Linked DNA regions of Drosophila melanogaster. Changing the gene in region 2 together with the main gene of any one other region gives a genetic interaction. Each region holds a gene or a part of one and is shown on either strand. Other genes may lie near its edges.

The links.
Region 1: of btz (region 2) and Nct, changing one enhances a phenotype caused by changing the other (phenotypic enhancement), as found in Drosophila melanogaster (one study listed by BioGRID).
Region 3: of btz (region 2) and CG7483, changing one enhances a phenotype caused by changing the other (phenotypic enhancement), as found in Drosophila melanogaster (one study listed by BioGRID).

What each region holds. Positions count from the first base shown.
Region 1 is NT_033777.3:24,849,975-24,856,835, forward strand, and holds Nct (nicastrin), read left to right. Parts: upstream 1-1,626; 5' UTR 1,627-1,674; coding exon 1,675-1,738; intron 1,739-1,863; coding exon 1,864-1,959; intron 1,960-2,011; coding exon 2,012-2,701; intron 2,702-2,763; coding exon 2,764-3,565; intron 3,566-3,628; coding exon 3,629-3,840; intron 3,841-3,901; coding exon 3,902-4,112; coding exon of another isoform or gene 4,113-4,116; exon of another isoform or gene 4,117-4,250; coding exon of another isoform or gene 4,251-4,263; exon of another isoform or gene 4,264-4,387; coding exon 4,388-4,412; 3' UTR 4,413-4,895; downstream 4,896-6,861. Other genes in the region: Esp (epidermal stripes and patches), read left to right, coding at 1-259; CG7006 (uncharacterized protein), read left to right, coding at 741-796, 848-1,334; HDAC11 (histone deacetylase 11), read right to left, coding at 5,129-5,971, 6,028-6,216; CAH4 (carbonic anhydrase 4), read right to left, coding at 6,483-6,593, 6,643-6,722, 6,775-6,861. UniProt on the Drosophila melanogaster protein: Essential subunit of the gamma-secretase complex, an endoprotease complex that catalyzes the intramembrane cleavage of integral membrane proteins such as Notch.
Region 2 is NT_033777.3:27,698,862-27,705,411, reverse strand, and holds btz (barentsz), read right to left. Parts: upstream 4,988-6,550; 5' UTR 4,828-4,987; coding exon 2,479-4,827; coding exon of another isoform or gene 2,344-2,478; 3' UTR 1,967-2,343; downstream 1-1,966. Other genes in the region: CROT (carnitine O-octanoyltransferase), read left to right, coding at 25-822, 892-1,022, 1,083-1,499, 1,556-1,688; ALiX (ALG-2 interacting protein X), read left to right, coding at 5,433-5,644, 5,859-5,977, 6,045-6,326.
Region 3 is NT_033777.3:8,309,880-8,315,364, reverse strand, and holds CG7483 (uncharacterized protein), read right to left. Parts: upstream 2,158-5,485; 5' UTR 2,028-2,157; coding exon 1,895-2,027; intron 1,835-1,894; coding exon 1,468-1,834; intron 1,413-1,467; coding exon 1,221-1,412; intron 1,160-1,220; coding exon 652-1,159; 3' UTR 501-651; downstream 1-500. Other genes in the region: Coq2 (coenzyme Q biosynthesis protein 2), read left to right, coding at 2-211; CG11698 (uncharacterized protein), read right to left, coding at 2,333-3,121; CG11694 (uncharacterized protein), read left to right, coding at 3,297-4,082; CG11693 (uncharacterized protein), read left to right, coding at 5,360-5,402, 5,459-5,485. UniProt on the Drosophila melanogaster protein: ATP-dependent RNA helicase. Core component of the splicing-dependent multiprotein exon junction complex (EJC) deposited at splice junctions on mRNAs. Involved in exon definition of genes containing long introns, including the rolled/MAPK gene.

The DNA.
Region 1 (6,861 bases), 2.8 Mb from region 2:
TAGGCAAAATGTCCCAGTGGTCATAGATGCGTCGCATGTCTACGGGGCTGACTTCACAACGGCCACGGTTATAGACTCGCTGATCAGTGATTTCAATCAGCGAGGACAACTGCTCTTCTTCTACAACCTCAAACCGAGTATCTGCTCCATTTTCGAGCACGTGTCGGCGGCCCAGTTCGTGGTCTACTACCAGGAGCAGCAGTTGGATGAGCTGCTCAAGGAGCGCAACTATGTGCAGAAGCGGCTCGAGACGGCCTAACTGGCTTATTCTCCTCAACACGTGATACAAATAATTTAGCCTAAGTGTTTGCTTTAATTATTTATGGCGTTGTAAATAGATTGTAAACTAATTGTGTAGTATTATCCAGAGCACACAACTATTAGAAATTGTAAGGTGAACAAATAAGTGTATTTCTTAATTACGTAATAATAACAAACAAAAATAATTTATCTTGTTTATTTCATGAAAGAGTAAAAGTCAGTGAGATTGGTTAACTCAAATCAATTAAAACTATTATTCAGTTTTGTTTATCAGATATATTTGATTTTGAATTTAAATACTTGGGCAATATACAACACTTGATAATGGCGCTATACAGCACTCTTAAGCTATCGATAAAAGCTATAGATAGACCGATATATTCAGTGCTGTTAGCCGTCCCTACTCAACACTGAAACATTTCTCACGTGTAAAGTTGAGCAGTTTGTTTTCCTCTTTTTTCCGCTTAATTTAACTTAAAATGAAACGCCTGAGCGACGAACGTGCCAAGATCTTGTTCGAGCACCTGTCCAAATAGTGAGTACCCAAAACAGATCATCGCAATGCAGCTAACAAGTGCTCTTACAGCATTGGCACAAATGTGAAGCATTTGATTGACCGGCCAGATGGAACATATTGCTTTCGGGAGCACAAGGATCGGGTCTACTACGTCTCGGAGCGGATTTTGAAGCTGAGCGAGTGCTTCGGCTACAAGCAGCTGGTGTGCGTGGGCACCTGCTTCGGCAAGTTCTCCAAGACCAACAAACTGAAGTTCCATATCACGGCCCTCTACTACTTGGCGCCCTACGCCCAGTACAAGGTGTGGGTGAAGCCCTCCTTCGAGCAGCAGTTTCTCTACGGCAACCACATACCCAAAACAGGACTGGGTCGCATCACGGAGAACGCCGGCCAGTACCAGGGCGTGGTGGTCTACTCCATGAACGACCTGCCTCTGGGCTTCGGCGTACTGGCGCGTTCCACAACGGACTGCAAGACCGCCGATCCCATGACCACCGTATGCTTTCATCAGTCGGATATCGGCGAATATATTCGCGCCGAGGACACGCTCTTTTAGATCCATAGATGCTAAGTTTTTACATGTTTTGTAGCAATAACCATGTTTAGGTAAATAATAAGTATGCTGAAAAACGGATAAACTGCTTTTGATTTTATATTTTTAATGTTAATACTGATAATAATAATAATTGATAATAAAACTTACACTACATTTCATAAATTATTATTAAAAAAAAAAATTTTAAATAGTGAGCCAATATTTTGTGGTATATTTTATGCAAGGTATTTTTTGAGTTTGAAATAGTATATACCCGCATTTTCAATGCCAATGGTATTTTGTACCGAAACGGTCACACGCAACACTGCAATTTCTGGACGCGATTTCGTGGGAATCTTCGATGGAAATGCGTCTGAATGCGGCTTCCATATGGCTGTTAATACTGTCGTATGGAGCAACTATTGGTAATAATCAGGACGAAAACAAAGTGGAGCTTCCAGTAGCGACCGGCGTCGAAAACCCGCACGCCCACTTTTTAATATAGGCCAAATAACCTGAGTCATCTAACCCGAACTTTCTTTGTCCACAGCTCAAGGAGAAAGAACCCGCGATAAGATGTACGAGCCCATTGGAGGAGCTAGCTGTTTCCGACGGCTGAATGGCACCCATCAGACAGGCTGTTCCTGTGAGTCCATTGAGAATATACCTTGAAATCCTCTATAATTCTTTCTTTTCAGCAACCTACTCCGGTTCCGTGGGCGTACTACATCTAATAAACGTCGAGGCCGACCTGGAATTTCTTCTTAGCAGCCCACCATCTCCACCTTACGCCCCCATGATACCACCTCACCTGTTCACACGTAACAACCTGATGCGCCTAAAGGAAGCCGGACCAAAGAACATTTCTGTGGTGCTGCTGATCAACCGCACGAACCAGATGAAGCAGTTCTCGCACGAACTCAACTGCCCCAATCAGTACAGCGGCCTGAACAGCACCAGTGAGACCTGCGACGCCAGCAATCCAGCCAAAAACTGGAATCCCTGGGGCACTGGACTTCTGCACGAGGACTTTCCCTTTCCTATCTATTACATAGCCGATTTGGATCAGGTCACCAAGCTAGAGAAGTGCTTTCAGGACTTTAACAACCATAACTACGAGACGCACGCGCTGCGTAGCTTGTGCGCCGTCGAGGTCAAGTCCTTTATGTCCGCCGCTGTCAACACCGAGGTCTGTATGCGCCGCACCAACTTCATCAATAATCTTGGAGGAAGCAAGTACTGCGATCCGCTCGAGGGACGGAATGTTTACGCCACCTTGTACCCCCGAAAGCCAGCAATCGAAAACAACTTGGAGACAGTCCATACGAATGAAAAGTTCATATTAGTAACCTGTCGCCTGGACACCACCACCATGTTCGATGGCGTCGGTGAGTTCAAGTAGTGGAATTACTACTACTTCGACTACATGATTTATTTCTACAATTCACAGGTCTTGGAGCCATGGACTCCCTCATGGGATTTGCTGTTTTCACTCATGTGGCGTATCTATTAAAACAACTACTTCCGCCGCAAAGCAAAGACCTTCATAATGTCCTCTTTGTGACTTTTAATGGCGAATCCTATGACTACATTGGTTCTCAAAGATTTGTATACGACATGGAGAAACTTCAATTTCCTACTGAATCCACAGGCACGCCTCCGATTGCCTTTGACAATATTGACTTCATGCTGGACATCGGGACACTGGATGACATATCGAATATTAAGCTGCATGCGTTAAATGGAACGACTTTGGCTCAGCAAATTCTAGAGCGGCTAAATAACTATGCGAAGTCGCCACGCTATGGCTTTAACCTGAACATTCAGTCCGAGATGAGCGCTCACTTACCACCTACGTCGGCGCAATCATTTCTGCGACGTGATCCAAACTTCAATGCATTGATTCTAAACGCTCGTCCAACGAACAAGTATTATCATTCCATATACGATGACGCGGATAACGTGGACTTCACCTATGCGAACACAAGCAAGGATTTCACCCAGCTGACGGAAGTTAATGACTTTAAAAGCTTGAACCCAGATTCACTGCAAATGAAAGTGCGCAACGTTTCCTCTATTGTGGCCATGGCCCTATATCAGACAATAACTGGAAAGGAGTACACTGGCACCAAGGTGGCCAACCCTCTGATGGCAGATGAGTTCCTTTACTGTTTCCTGCAATCGGCGGACTGCCCACTCTTTAAGGCCGCATCTTATCCGGGCAGTCAGCTCACCAATTTGCCTCCGATGCGGTAAGTTAGCTATAAACATGCCTATACTTGGATTTATTTATTGCTAGCCTTTCTTTTCCCAAGCTACATAAGCGTCTTGGGTGGCTCTCAAGAGTCGTCGGGCTATACGTATAGATTGCTGGGCTATCTCCTGTCACAACTGCAGCCAGACATTCACAGAGATAACTGCACCGACTTGCCGCTGCACTATTTCGCCGGATTCAACAATATCGGAGAGTGTCGCCTCACCACGCAGAACTACAGTCACGCCCTGAGTCCAGCTTTTCTTATTGATGGTTAGCCCTGAAATGCCTTTATTGTCTTGTGCAAACATTTTTACAATTAAACTTTCATTAGGCTACGATTGGAGTTCCGGCATGTATTCCACTTGGACTGAATCCACCTGGTCACAGTTCAGTGCACGCATCTTCCTGCGCCCGTCCAATGTGCACCAGGTCACAACTCTAAGCGTTGGCATAGTGGTGCTGATAATATCCTTCTGTTTGGTGTATATAATCAGCTCACGATCGGAAGTCCTCTTTGAGGATTTGCCGGCAAGCAATGCCGCGTAAGTCCCTTCAGATGCATCCACTTGTACATCGTCAGTTTGCTCATCAATTACTGGGAAACTCATGTCATCTTTAGTGCTCAGATTTTGTTTGGTTTCTATGTATTGTAATATTTATTTGAAATTTATTGTTTCTAGATTATTTGGTTGATGTCACAACTGCCACAGCGACGAAATCATCGCGTTCAGCAGCTCATTCCATAGATTTCTGCATGCGTAAACTAAACGTTACTTGTAAACCAATCGATTAAGAATTTCTGATTGTGCCCTTTTAGATCGCCGCGGCCGACAGCCTGTTAAATCTTCAAAGAATATCTGATCACGTGCCGAAGATGATTGGTTGCTGAATATGATCTAAAACAAAAAACAGACTTAACAAAGACACTAAAATGATATTCTAACTCGTCTTATTTAAAACATTAAGCAAACGTTTATTTATATGTATTTTTGTATTTTAAAGTAGTAAATTAGCTTCTATCAACTACGTTGTATCATATATAGACATTTAACCAATTGCGACAAAATTCTTTCCACTTGTCCGGCCCTTTTTGCATTGTACATAGGATTAACCAACCCAATTGAACCTCTGATAATGCCAAGGAAGAGATGTCTGTACAAATATTGACAAGAAACTGCTATAACTTATAAATCACTGGAAATATTTATACCTTCTGCATCTATTGCGATACTGAACTTAATGATCTGAAATCATTACTTCATAGAAGACAAATAATTATTATAACGACTTTAAATTATATATGTTTAATAAATTTTGATAAGGTGTAAAGCAATGTCCTGTTATCTAGTTAGGTTATTTTCAAGGCAATTATTCACAGCTCTCAGATTCCAACGATTGATGTAGTTTAATCTCAACTCTTTACCAAAGAAGTCCATTTGTACTAGTGTAAAAGATATTTTCAATACTCTTAAAATCGTGGAAATACTTTTGGGAATGGTAAGAATTGGCAAAATCCGAAGTTTTGACGATATTATCGTCTTAAATATTTTTAATTTCTTTAGTTTAGCAATCCTTGAAGCCGAAGATTAACAATCGAATCTGTAATTACCCCTGCGGATGCCTTCAAGTAGCCACCACTCAGCAGCATCACCACCGGAATTCCTAATGCCCGAAATGTACTAAATACCAACCGATCCCGCTCAATAACGCCCTCCGCGGAAATAGCCAGGTTGCCCAATGGATCGCCCTCGAGCACATCGGTTCCCGCATTATAGACGACCATATCTGGACGGAACTCGGCCAGGGACTGCATCAGGCAGCGTTTTAGTTGCCGCAGGTAGAATCCATCCTCCGTGTAGTTGCGCAGCTCCACCGCACACCGAATGCTCTCCTTGGCCACATGATCCCGCGGATAGACAAAGGCATTGTACATGTCGAAAATGTAGACGGCTGCCACGTTATTGAAGTCCCGCTCGTGCCCATTGCCCTGATGGGCATCCAGGTCCACAATCATTATGCGGCGCACCCGGAATGGTTCCTGCTCGAACAGCCTGACGATGAGCAGCGAGATGTCAGCATATGGACAGAAACCACCGCCTCTGTACGAGCAACAGTGATGGAACCCACCGCCCAGGTTGATGGCCCAACCATAATCCAATGCCAGCTTACCGGCCAAAATGGAACCGGCTGCTTGAAAGCGCATGGGTCGCAAATAGGAACGCTGAATGTATCGATTCGGGACGAAGGCCATCAGCGGCACTTCAGCGATGCAGGCCACATTCATGCTCCAGCGCAGTGACTTTAGGTATTCCCTTGTGTGAATACGACGCAGCTGGTCCTTGGTCAGCTCCGTGGGTTCGTAGAAGCTGCCGTCGTCGAGCTGCAGTTGGGCGCACAGGAGCTGTGGTCCATTGATTGGTATATAAAAGTTCAGGAGATCGGGAAATGCATACGAACCTTGTGAATGTGCTTGCCCTTGGCCGCATCGAAGGGATGTAGGCGTTCAAGGCCACCGAAGCGAACCGCATAGTTCCTTGAGAACACGATGGGCAGTTTGCCGGCGGAGCGTGCGTCATCCCGCTTAACCCAGACAACCTCCTCGGACTCCTGCTCCTCGTGGTGCACTCGCTCAGTCAGGCGCTTCATTTTGTGGTTCAATTTAGGCGTGGATTACATCTGTCCGACACCAGTTGAATTGGCTACGCAAATAGCAAATGCAATTTCGCATCTTTGGGGTTGGGAACGGGAATGGGAAAGGGTGGATGCGCCATCAGCTGGCGGCCGGCAAAAAGCTTCCATTCAAGCACTTGGACTAAGCTTTTGCATAAAACAACAAATGCACTTAAAATAATTTTAATACACTATGTGACTTGGACAATACATATTACATGATATTCACTTGGCTAAAACACTTATTTTGCTTTACTTCTATAAACTGGTCGGTCATGGCCATCTTGCAGTTCCCTGTAGGTGTTAAGGACGCGCTGGTCACGAGAGTCCCTCAGTTGCCAAAAGTGCTTCCACTGTTGATTTATATCACAAAAAGGAACTACTTCTGTTTAGATTACTTACCAGCTCCTTGGGAACATCGAGAGGAGTCGGGAAAACAAACCAGATGACTGCCTCGGCACAGGGAGGAGTAGTAAGCGAACCTAAAACATATATGTATGAATGGATATCCAAAAGCCAAAAGAAACATCTCACCTTGGTAGGTGAAGTATTTTTGGCTGTCTATGCTAGCAAAAAGGTCCTGCAAAGCCATGCTGTCCTCCAGAGGACACGAATCATCCA
Region 2 (6,550 bases):
TAATTGACTGTATAATTTTCGAAGAGTCTGGCGCGCCACATTCACCACTCGCTGGAGTTTTGGGATCTGACTAGAAAGTCCAGCATCAAACCGCTCTCCTCGAACGGCGGTAAAATAAAGTACTCCTCCGCGCTGTACAAGCACTTCTTCTCCACGTGCCGTGTGCCAGGCGAGGAGCAGGATCATATAGAGAAGCATTTTCTCACCAAGGATGAGGGCAAAACGCCGAGTCACATGCTTATTTCCGGCAAGGGACGTCAGTTCATCTTCGATTGTGTGCACGAGGACGACACTATCCTATCGGCTCCCGAAATCCTCGTGGCCCTGCAAAGAGTGCGCAGCATCCTCGACTACGAGCCGTTGGGCGATTGTGTGCCCACCCTGAGCCATGACGAACGCTCCACGTGGGCACGCAACCGCAACCGTTTGAGGGAAATCTCAGTTGCAAACAAGGAGACGCTGCTTCTGGTGGAGAGCGCATGTATGGAGATCTGCTGGTACGAGCAATCGCCCAAGGACTACGAGGAGTCCTGCCAGCTGGGTCTCTACGGTGATCTCCATTCCCGCTGGGCAGACCGCAGCAGCAGCATCATCGCCTTCCGCAACGGACGCTGCAACTGGACGGGTGAGCACAGCTGCTACGATGGCACGGTCAGCATAAGTTACGCCACATTCATGCAACTGAGCTTCCTGGAGGTGCCAGAGCCAGACTGGGCAGAGGCCGAAAAAGGCAATGTTTTGGAGGTCAAGGAGCTGCACTTCCAGCTGGATGATACGCTCAAGAACGAGATCAAGCGCGTGCAGAAGGATATTGATGACAGGGTAGGCAAAACGCCTTTTTCCGAAACCTGTTATTGAACTAGTTAATCCTTTTGTATGTGGTATCCTTAGGGTATTGACGTTACTGTGACCTTCACTGCGTTCGATGACTACGGCAAGGACTTTATGAAAACCCATCGACTGCATCCAGACTCCTTTGTTCAGGTGGTCATGCAGTGGGCCTACTACCAAATGCATAAAGAGTGAGTTCACCTCTGGACTAAAAAAAACAGCACTAACAACACTCCATGGATATCCAACAGAATTGCTCCCACATATGAGACTGCTCTGATGCGACAGTACTACAATGGACGAACAGAGACCCTGCGATCATGCACTTCCGCTGTGGCTGAATTCCTGAGGGCGTCATCCAACAAGCAGGTTGGCGATATGTCACTGGCCAGGGCGTTCCGTAGGGCAGTCGATGAGCACAAGCACTTCATGAACGAGGCGCGCAAGGGACACGGCATCGATAGGCACTTGTTTGGCCTGTGGTGCGCGGCGTATGAAAGCAAAATGGACATTCCCGCCTTCTACGACGATCCGATGTACACCAAGAGCGGCGGAGGAGGTAACTTTGTGCTCTCGTCCAGCACGCTGGGCTTCACGGCCAACGTTGGTTTCGTGGCGCCCATGGTCTTCGATGGCTATGGCGTCTTTTACTCCATCACCTCGGAAGCGTAAGCTAGACACTCCTCCATTATCTTGAATTGTTCTTTAATTTCGTACATTCTAGTGTGTTCATTAATACCACCGCCTATCGGGATAGCCTAAAGACAAGCGCTCGCAAGTTCAACGACATTTTCAAGGACTCATTCCGCCGCATCAGCGTTCTCCTGGAACAATTGGCCAAGGAATCCAAGCTATGAAAAGCTCATCTAGTATTAAGAAAAGATCTAATCTTACTTTATGTCGTCATTGAAATTCAGTTCTCATTTTTAGTTCCAATCAGAAAGTAGATTTTTGGTTTTTCTTTCCATTTTGTTTCAATTAGCACAATTACCTAGATTTTAACGAACAGTCGAATTTAAATATTTTTTATTTGAAATTGGATCCCTAGTTCAACCCACCTTTCACCGGAAACTAAGTGAAAACGCAGACTTCGTTGGTAGTTTGTAGTTTGACAGAAAGGGTGTGCAGCATTTGTAACTTCGTGTTAAACGTTTATTTAAATTCAATGATCGATTAGTTTTTGCAAATACATTTCTCTCGGTAATTCTTGTGTTTCAATTCTAAAATGCGGCTAAATAAGCTAAGCGCCCAGCCGCTTCAATACGTTAGCCGGCCCTAGATACTACGTACAAATTAATTGGAGCTTGCGCCGGATTACAATATATATATATATAATCGTCTATATACGAAAACTTTTCGTTAGTAATTTCGATTATCTGGGAGCTAAATGCTAATTACAAGTGGTTCTCACTGCGTTTCTTTATTTATGCAGTACTTTTTGAGTCGCAGACCCAAGGACAGAATGGGGGAAAAAAAATCGTATGAGTTGAGTTAGGAGCTGGGCTGTCCGCACTAGTGCGGCGGGGGCGGAGGTCGATAGTAGCCAGCGTGCGGCTGCAGCATTGAGTAGCCGGAGGAGGGCGGCGGCGCTATCCGTTGGCCTCGTCTCTGCTGCTGCTGTGGCGGCAAGCCGGCGTACGCCTGCACTCATTCCTGCCCAGTGGCCGGAACTGGCTGAAGGTTCTGCTCGGCAGCCGGTGGAGTGGCTGCCGCCTCTTCCTTTGTTCCCCCACCTGGAGTTGCGCCTTCGCCGGTAGCCTGGAAGGCCGAAGGTCGCTGCACGAACATGTTGTCAATGATGTGATCTATGTTGTCCGAGATGCCCTCCTCCTTCGCTCCACCCTTGACCTTATGCTTTTCGGAGGGCGGGAGAATGGGAATCGCGTTGGTGGGACGACGCTGGGGCAGAGCACTTGGTCGGCTAGTGGTTTGAGCCGGCGGTACAAAGTAGGTTGTGCCACCGACCGTGTTGTAGTTCTGATACGGCTGAGCCGGCTGCGTTGCGGGCGGCGCCTGAGCGGGCGGCGGTGTGGGTTGTGTTACAACCGGAGGCCCTGCTTGGGCGTACGCCACGGCAGCCGGAGTGGTTGGCAAGTAAGCGGCACTAGCCGGATTAACATACGGTGCCTGGGGAACGGGCACTGGAACTGGCTCCGTTCCGGTCACATAGTACGGTGCCGCCTGTGCTTGCGGATATGCGGCTGCCGGCGGGGCATGTGGCTTTGGTGGTGTTGGAACTGCTCCTGCGGCAGTAGGTGGTCCAAGTTGCATGGTCTGCAGTTGGGCCTGCAGCTCCTGTTGCTGATAGGCGATCTGCATCAGAACATGGGGGTCCTGAATCATGATCTGCGATTGTTGCTGCTGCTGTTGCTGTTGAAGATGCAACTGCTGCTGCATCTGCTGTTGCTGCTGCTCAGCCAAGTGCTGTGATGCCTCCTGCTGTGAGCGACGCAAGCTGGAGTAGCGCTTGGGCGCATTTCGTTGTTCCTGATGCAGTGGCTGCTGCTGCTGCTGCTGAGGCGCCTGATTTTGGCTAGCCAGAGAATGCATCTGGACACTGCCCACATGGCTGGGATCATTGCGTTGCTGCACCTGCTGGAGCCGCTGCGAAAGGTTCGACGTGGAAAGCGGCGTCTGTGGAGACTGCTGCGGCTGGGACGGCTGTCGTTGCTGCTGTGGCTGTTGCTGATGATGAGGTTGCTGCTGCGGCTGTTGTTGTTGGTTGGAGCGTGGAGTGGATGGCTTCTGGTTACGGTTGTCCAGTTGGTCTGGCCCCCGCTCCCGCTCTCTTAGCTGCTGTCCACGGTTGTTCTTCTTAAATTCCATGCCATTCTGACGTCCGGGGCCGCCGTTCATCCGCCCGAAGTTGCGATTCTTGGGCTCTCGATCGCGTTCCCGCTCCCTTTCCCTCTCACGTTCACGCTCCTGGGATCTGTGTGGATTGGAGCTACTGGCCAAGGGCTGTTGCTTCTCTGGAACCAAGCCTTCAGCAGCGACGGACCGTCGGTTTTCCTTTTCCTCACGCGAGGATGATGTTCGTGGACCACGTGGCTTTCTTTCGTTGAGCGCCGGGAAGTCCTGTGGCCGCGGCGGCTTGCGCTCCTTATTGCTGGCTTTGAGGTAGGCCTGCTCGTCCTCCCAGTTTCTTGAGTATTTACTAGGCCCACGCGTATATCGCCGGCGACGTCTGGCTCTGGGTGGTGCGTCCTCGTTTCTAATGTCGTAGCCGTATGTTTGCAGCAACTCTGCACGGGATTTGGGAGCCTGCTCCGTGGCCTCGAATCGATCGTGAGACCAGCGATCACCGCCTGAAGCTGGTTGCCATTTTCGCATGGTCTTCGATGCCTGTGAGATCTGTGGCGTTTGGCCAGTCGGCGTGGCACCGGCGGCCGCAAGTCCATTGAGTTCGCCATTTGGCTCCGCCGCCGCCTGGCCAGCACCGTTTTCGGGTTCGATCAGGATTTCTCCCTCGGTCTCCGCCGTCCGATCGTCGTGCTCGTAGAAAGTGCCCCGCTTTGGGATGTACTGCGGATTGCTGCGATCCTCGTCCACCTTCTTCTGGGCCTCACTGTCTGCGACGGAGCGGTCCATCGCCTGCTCCCCTTCGCCATCGTCCGTTTCGCTGCCCACCTCATCGTCCTCGTCGTCCGTCTCAGATTCCTCCTCGCTCCCACTGCCACTGGCGCTGCCGCTGGCACTCTCCTCGTCGTCATAGTCCTCTCCGCCCTCCAGATCACTGGCCGTGTCGTACTCGGAGTCGTGCGGATGCGAATTGGAGTTGGGCTCCTGGGTGGGCGAGGTGCCCGGCTCGACGTCCACGGTGGTATCCGCTGTGGGCGTTACAGCCACTGGCGCCTCGCTGGCAGGTGCAGCCGTGGCCTGGGGGATGTCGGTCGGGGGCGTGGCCGCCGTTGGTTTCTCCACTTCGGCCATCGCGGGGTCTCTTCGGTTTTCTGCCTCGCTACTGCTGCTGCTGCTTCTTCTGCGGAATGACATAGAACGGGATTCTAGGTGTCACTGGGATATCCAAGCCAGGGCTCCGTATATCAACTCACGTGCGAATTCTTGACAAGGCCTAACTACTCTAGTAAGCGTGCTTCTTGTTACGGTAAATTCTAAGAAAAAACCAATAATTTCGCACAATTTTCTCGACAACAACGCAATCAGAAAATAGAAAGTCTAGGGTTACCTTTCTCTCGCCGCAGAGATGCCACACTGTTGAAAACGTAACGACAGGGCGAGAAACGTAGCAATGTGCATACGTATTGAAATAGTGGCAGCTCTGGTAGTTACCGGTTCATGTTAGTAATAAAAAACATATAGAACATAGAACATAGAAAAAATATTCTATTACTTTTTTTTAATAGTTTACAATATTAAGTATCTTTGACAAAAATTCACCTTTGAAGTATAGAACTAAATCCTTAGTATTTCTTTAGTGGCTATCGAAAACGGTATCGACGGCTGGACATCGCTGGCCAGCTGTTGTAGGGGAAGGAAAGAGAGCGTAAAGCGGAGTTCGAATAGAGCGACAGACGATTAATTAATATCACTTGGAATCAGAAGTCGGACAAGAAGCAGACTCCGCAGAACAGGAAAAGATGTCGAAGTTTCTGGGCGTGCCGCTGAAGAAGCCGTCGGAGGTGGATGTGATCAAGCCGCTGAACAATCTCATCCAGAGCACCTACAACGGTGCGTCGGAGGAGGAGAAGGGCAAGTACGGAGAGGCCGTCAACGAATTTTCGAAACAACGCAATACGGCAATTTGGAAATTCTTTGAAAAGTACGAGGCTTCGCTGGAGATTGTGTACGCGTAAGTACCACCATGTCTTTGTGGCCTTCTTCCGGGAATCTCCCGATGAGTCACCCGCACAACGGGGCAGCTAATCACACCCATTCCATTCGATTCGATTCCACCTGGTGCTTCTGTATTGGTGTGGTGGTCAGACGTAAACAAGCTCTCGGATGACGTAGTCGTTAACTAAATGTTTTGCCTCCGGGTTTTGTTGCCTGCTCTGTATTTCCAGCTATTATGACCAGATTTGTGCGCTGGAGACCAAGATATCGGTTAGCGAACTTCAGATACCCTTTAAGTGGAAGGATGCCTTCGACAAGGGCTCCATTTTCGGCGGCAAGATCAGCCTGAGTGAGTGATTCATTGCCATGTGCCAAGTATATTTCACCACTAACCCAACGGCATCCACCATCCACAGCTCACACCTCCTTGCTTTACGAGAAGGTCTGTGTGCTCTTCAACATTGCCGCCCTGCAGAGCAACATCGCTGCCAACCAGTCCCTGGATTCGGATGACGGCCTTAAGCTGACCATCAAACTGCTCCAGCAGAGCGCCGGCATCTTTCAGTATTTGAAGGGAGCGACGCCAGCGGCAGTGCCCTCGGAACCCACGCCCGATCTCAGCCAGGATACGCTAACCGTGCTGCAGGCTCTGATGGTCGCCCAAGCGCAGGAGGTTTTCATTCTGAAGGCAATTAAGGGTATGTAAAATTAATTCACAAAGAGCACGAACACCGTTCACATTTAAATGCTTATCTATGAGCAAAATTTAGTTGTTTACATTGGGCGATAAACTATTTTATCAGGTAAAAGCGTCTTTGGCATACAATAAAAGCACTCAATGCAATATTTTTCGGACAAAGCTTATCCGAAGATATTACTTTTGATACGTGGGGACATTACCCAGTTATTTCCTTTGAAATTA
Region 3 (5,485 bases), about 19 Mb from region 2:
GATCTATTCCCTCAACATTGACAACCCCAGCGACTGCGCCAAAAAGTTCATATCGAACCACCAAGTAGGACTCATTCTCTTCCTCGGCATTGTTCTGGGCACCCTTCTGAAATCAGACGAAAGCAAGAAACAGCGACAATCCTCACTAACAACATCGACGGCCAGCTCGTACGTTCCAGCGCTGCCGCAAAAGCCAGAAGTTTTAAGCTGAGATGAGCCAGACGAGCGTAGATTGTAGTGTTAAATTATGTTTATAGCGCGCTTTTTGATTCGCCAAAACCAAAGTCTCTAGGTATCTGATTAGATAAAATCTTGTAAATAGGCTTATGACCATTTTTAGCTCATTTGCAATAGGTTAAGTCTTAAAGAATATTACTAAGTGCACACCTCACTTAAACATCAATTAATTCTTAATTGTAAGTGCCCGCCTTGACGTAAGAACTTACGTAAATCACCCATCCCCTGAGCCCTCCTAACCCATTTGAAAAGCAAACTGGTTTCTGTATTAAATTCTTACGTGTTATTTATTATTATTATACAGATTTTGGTTGTCTATTGAAATTCAAATACTCTTCAAATGTATTTACTTCATTCGTTTGTTGTTACGGCTAGGAAAAGTGCGTTACATAAAAGTAATGATAGAATATTAGTTTAGATCAAGTCAGCCACGTTCATGGGCATCTCGTCGATTTGTGTGGAGTAGTACTGCTCAATGTCGCGCAGGATGCGGATATCGTCCGATTTGACAAAGTTAATTGCAACACCTTTGCGTCCGAAACGACCAGAACGACCGATGCGATGGATGTACAGCTCACGGTTGTTGGGCAAATCGTAGTTGATGACCAGCGACACCTGCTGTACATCGATACCCCGAGCCCACACATCGGTGGTGATGAGCACTCGCGACTGGCCGGCTCGGAACTCCTTCATGATCTCGTCACGCTCCTTTTGCGGCATATCGCCGTGCATCGAGCTGACTGTAAAGTTAGCCTCGCGCATCTTCTCCGTCAGCCAGTCCACCTTGCGTTTCGTGTTGCAGAAGATGACGGCCTGGGTAATGGTCAGAGTATCGTACAGATCGCACAGGGTATCGAATTTCCATTCCTCGCGCTCCACGGCGACGAAGAACTGCTTGATGCCTTCCAGTGTCAATTCGTCACTGTGAGGGAATGGAATTTATGAATCATACTGCGTATATGGGGGAGCATCATATTGCTTACCGCTTGACCAAGATGCGAATCGGATCTGTCATAAATTTGGAGGTCATCTCGAGTATCTCGTGGGGCAAGGTAGCTGAGATGAGCACCACCTGGGTGGCTGGTGGCAAGTAGCGATACACATCGTATATCTGTTCCTTGAAACCCTTATTAAGCATCTCGTCAGCTTCGTCCAGCACTAGCATCTTGATGGCTCTATAAAATGTACTTATAATTATAATATTGTTTGATCGGGCACAATGAAACATACCTTGTTCGCAGCACTCGTCGCTTGATCATGTCGAAGACTCGTCCTGGAGTGCCGCTCACAATGTGTTGACCGTAGTCCAATTTGCGGATATCCTCGCCCAGGTTGGTGCCACCGATGCACACATGGCACTGGACATTCATCATGTCGCCGAGGGCAAGAATGACTTTCTGGATTTGCACAGCCAACTCGCGAGTGGGCGACAGGCACAGAACCTGCGTCTCCCGCAGCGTGGTGTCCAGGCTCTGCAGGATGGAGATGGAGAAGGTGGCGGTTTTGCCCGTGCCTGATTGTGCCTGGGCAATCACATCCCGTCCCTTGACGATAGGCGTAATGCTCCTTTGCTGAATGGCCGAGGGTTTCTCGAAGCCTTGGGAGTGCAGAAAACTGGATTAGTTCTAGACCGGCCATAGGTATACACACCACTCACCGTACGCGTAGATGCCGCGTAGCAGCTCCTCCTTTAGATTCATGGCGTTGAATGTGGGTATCACCTCCACATCCTCGCTCGTCTCGAACTCCACGTTGGAGAGGTCCTCCGCCTGGGCATTCTTGCGCGCCATGTTCACGATTTGTTCGCGTGCGGTTTCGGCTGATATTAATAAATATTTACAGTCTTTTTCGGCTAATTTTTCTGACTTTCACAGAAAAAAATGCGGTCCGCTTACTAGGGGTGGCCTATCAATTGCTTAGCAACAATCGATTATTGAATCGGCGTCGATTTAATTTGATATCGATATGTTTTCACTTATTTTGCGACAAGTGGCAACACTGATATCGGGCGGAAAAAATTTAAAGTGAATATATGTTCTTATTTATTGTATTTTATAAAATATAAATATGATTATTGCCATAACAAACAAGAAACTCAACTTGTTTTTTCCGGAGTGCTACTTCTTCTCCTGCGCAGGAAGTTCTCGAGCGACTGAAGATCCTTTCGCTTCAGCATCTTAATCCTGCTCACCAGTTTTTGCAAAGCTTCGATCCGTTGCTGTGCTTCCTTGGCGGCGTCGTTGGCCTTCTTAGCGCTCTGCTTATTTCGCTCCAGATCCTTCTGAGCCTCGCACATGCAGCTATGGAGCTCTTCCACCCGCATCCTGGCCGCTTTCAGAAGGCTGCGCTTTTCCAGGGCCTCTTTCTGGGCACTGTCGGCCATCCTCCGGATGTTATCGAGATTTCCGCCCATTTCCTTTAGCATACTCTTCATAATGTTCACGGATGTGCAGAGCTTGTCACGGATCCCCTTTGCCGACGTCGCCGAGCACGAGCTGGCAGCAATGGCTCGTTGGATTTCCTCGATAACCCTGTTCGTTTCTGCCAGACTTTTGGTGTATTCATCGAGGAGCTGCTTCTTCCCGTTGAGAGCCGCCTCCGCAGCCTTGGCCGCCTGCAACGCCCTGTCCGCCAGCATTTCCCGTGCCCTGTAGCCCGCCATCTCCGCGGCACATGGCTGCGCATCCTTGGCGTCCTTCGCATCCTTGGCCGCCTTCGAGGCCACCTGGCTGGCTTTCATGCTCGTCTTGCAGGGAAGGGAGCCGGGCTTGAAACGCGGATCATTCCGCTGGGCAGGATGCGCGGCGGTCGACAGCAGGATGTTCGAAAGAAGCAACATCGTAACCAGGGAGTCGCAACGCATTGGGAATCTTGCATCGTACATAAATCTCAAGGCTCATCAGGAAATCGAAATGTGGAGATAATAATGGGAATATAGCAGCTCCACCTTTCAAATCACTATTATTTGAAATATTTGTACAGTAACCACAAGTTACCTGGAGTATATATTTCTTAAATATCTTTAGAAATCCGTTTAATACAACTATTTCGAGTTAAGCATGGAGATAGCACGAATCGCATTTCTACTTTTCTTCCTGTTCTCAGATCATTCTGCGGGCCACAAGTTGCCGCAGTCCTCCAATGAGATAGCTGCTCTAATGTCGGATCATCATGGTGATGGCGACAACAGTGTGTCGTCATCCTCCGGCGGTGCCCCGTGCGACTTCAAGATGAATGGAAAGACCAGGGTAAAGGCCTCATGCATTGCGCAGAAGGCGGCCAAGGAAGCCATGGAGGCATCCGATGCCCAGATAGAGGCTGGCGAGGCAGCTGCCCGCCAGGTGAAGCAGCAACTGGCCGACAAAGCGCTGGCCGCAGCCAAGGCGGCAGAAGCTGCTCTGGCCGGCAAGCAACAGATTGTCGAGCAACTGGAGTCCGAGGTGCGCGAGGGGGAGCTAGTGGTCCAGGAGGAGAGCACCTTGTTACAGACCACCCAAACTACTTATGCTGCGGCCGGGCAAGCGGCCAAACAGGCGGCAGATCAGCTGAACACCATTACGCTGGCGGTGAAGAATGCGCAGGATAATGTGGTCAACTCGGAGCACGTGGCCAGTGGCGCTCAGCAGGAGCTGGGCGAGAAGCAACAGCTTGTGGAAGCGGCCAAGAAGCGGGTGGAGCTATTGCTCCGCCAGCTGGAGGTGGCCCGTGTGGATTTCAAGAATACCAAAAACGCCGCCGAGAAGGCAGCCTGTGCTGCCCAGGAGGCCAGGCATAGGGCCACCAGGGAGCGCAGGAGGGCGGAACTGAGGCACTTACTCTGGCTGAAGAGGGGGCGCACCAACTGAAGCCAATAACTTGTATATCTTATATTTTATTTTACTTTGCATTTTCAAAAGGGAGAATATAATTCAGTTTTATTAAATTCAATAGTTCGTAGGTGAGATCACAATTATAAACTACAAATTGTGACATCAAGTTTATCATGATGCAATTGGGGATTACGGGGCGTATACTCAACACACCTCGCTAAGCTTCCGAACACTCCTCCGTGTTCACACGCGGATCTGCGAGGAAGCGAACAATCATCGGACTTCATCGGTCTTTCGTCATATGCAATCTCTCCCGGAGCGGGCATTTAAAGCGTCTCATGGCAATTAGACGCTCTGCCATAATTGCGGCTACAAATTATCCAATCGAGCAGCCGCCTGGTAGCATTGACCCAGCACCATCGTTGTTGGATGATGGTGCATGGCCAGCTCGCGAGGAAAACCAACAGCCAACGGGTTTGCACTTTCTTTCGGCGACCCGACCAGTTCGTTTATAAATACATGGCGCCTCTGGTGGCCAACTGGCAATCGTCGTTGAGTCTCCACCGGATTTACTGCGCCCACTTGCCGCTCCCCCAGCCACCAGCCTCCAGCTCTACCTGTTGCGCGCTCCTAGCTTCATCTAGTGCGAAAGTAAAAGCGTTTTTCACCGAACTCGTCCATCCACATTGACTCCGCTTGGCGGGCGATCCTCCACTCGAGTCATAAGCATTTTATCTCTGGTCCGCACAGGACGTTCGTGTCGGTCAAGTCCAAGTCCAAGTCGAGATCGAGATCGAGAGGTGCGTTGGTGTCAAAACTGAGTGATTGGTGTGTGCCTTGTGTGCAGTGTCCAGTTTGGCTGCGCTTCAAACTAAACAGGTTCTCTCGTGGAACATATCATTCCGTGACCCACTAACGACTTACCGGCCATCCTAGAGCAAAGAAAGTGCCGCACCATAAAATATTAGCTAATAGGCAAAGCGGCTATGTAACCGGTTGCCCAATGATTATGCACTCGCAAAAGGTGTCCTTCAGATGTGAAGATATTTTTAATGCAGAATGAAGTGGTACATTTCGTAACAAGTTTATTTTAGTGAGATGCAATCAACAACTAACTAGCTAACTAAACTGAAAAGCATATACATACGTGAAAAACAATGAAGAAACTTTTCCCCAATTAAAAACGGAAATTTGTTTTCTTTCAGCACTCGGCGTGCGACAGAGGAACCCAAAAGCTTGCGCCTGCGGTGATCACGAGTCTTCCGGTTGTGCGACTTCCTTTCGCCAGCTGCTCCATTGCATAATCGCCAGAGATGCCATCGCTGCTGCACCTGCTGCTCCTGGCGCTGTTTTTGGGTGAGTCGCACATGACTTCCTCATGCAAATGTGGCTAAATTGGGACTTTGATTTAGTGGCCATGCCGACGCAGGGTCGCAAGA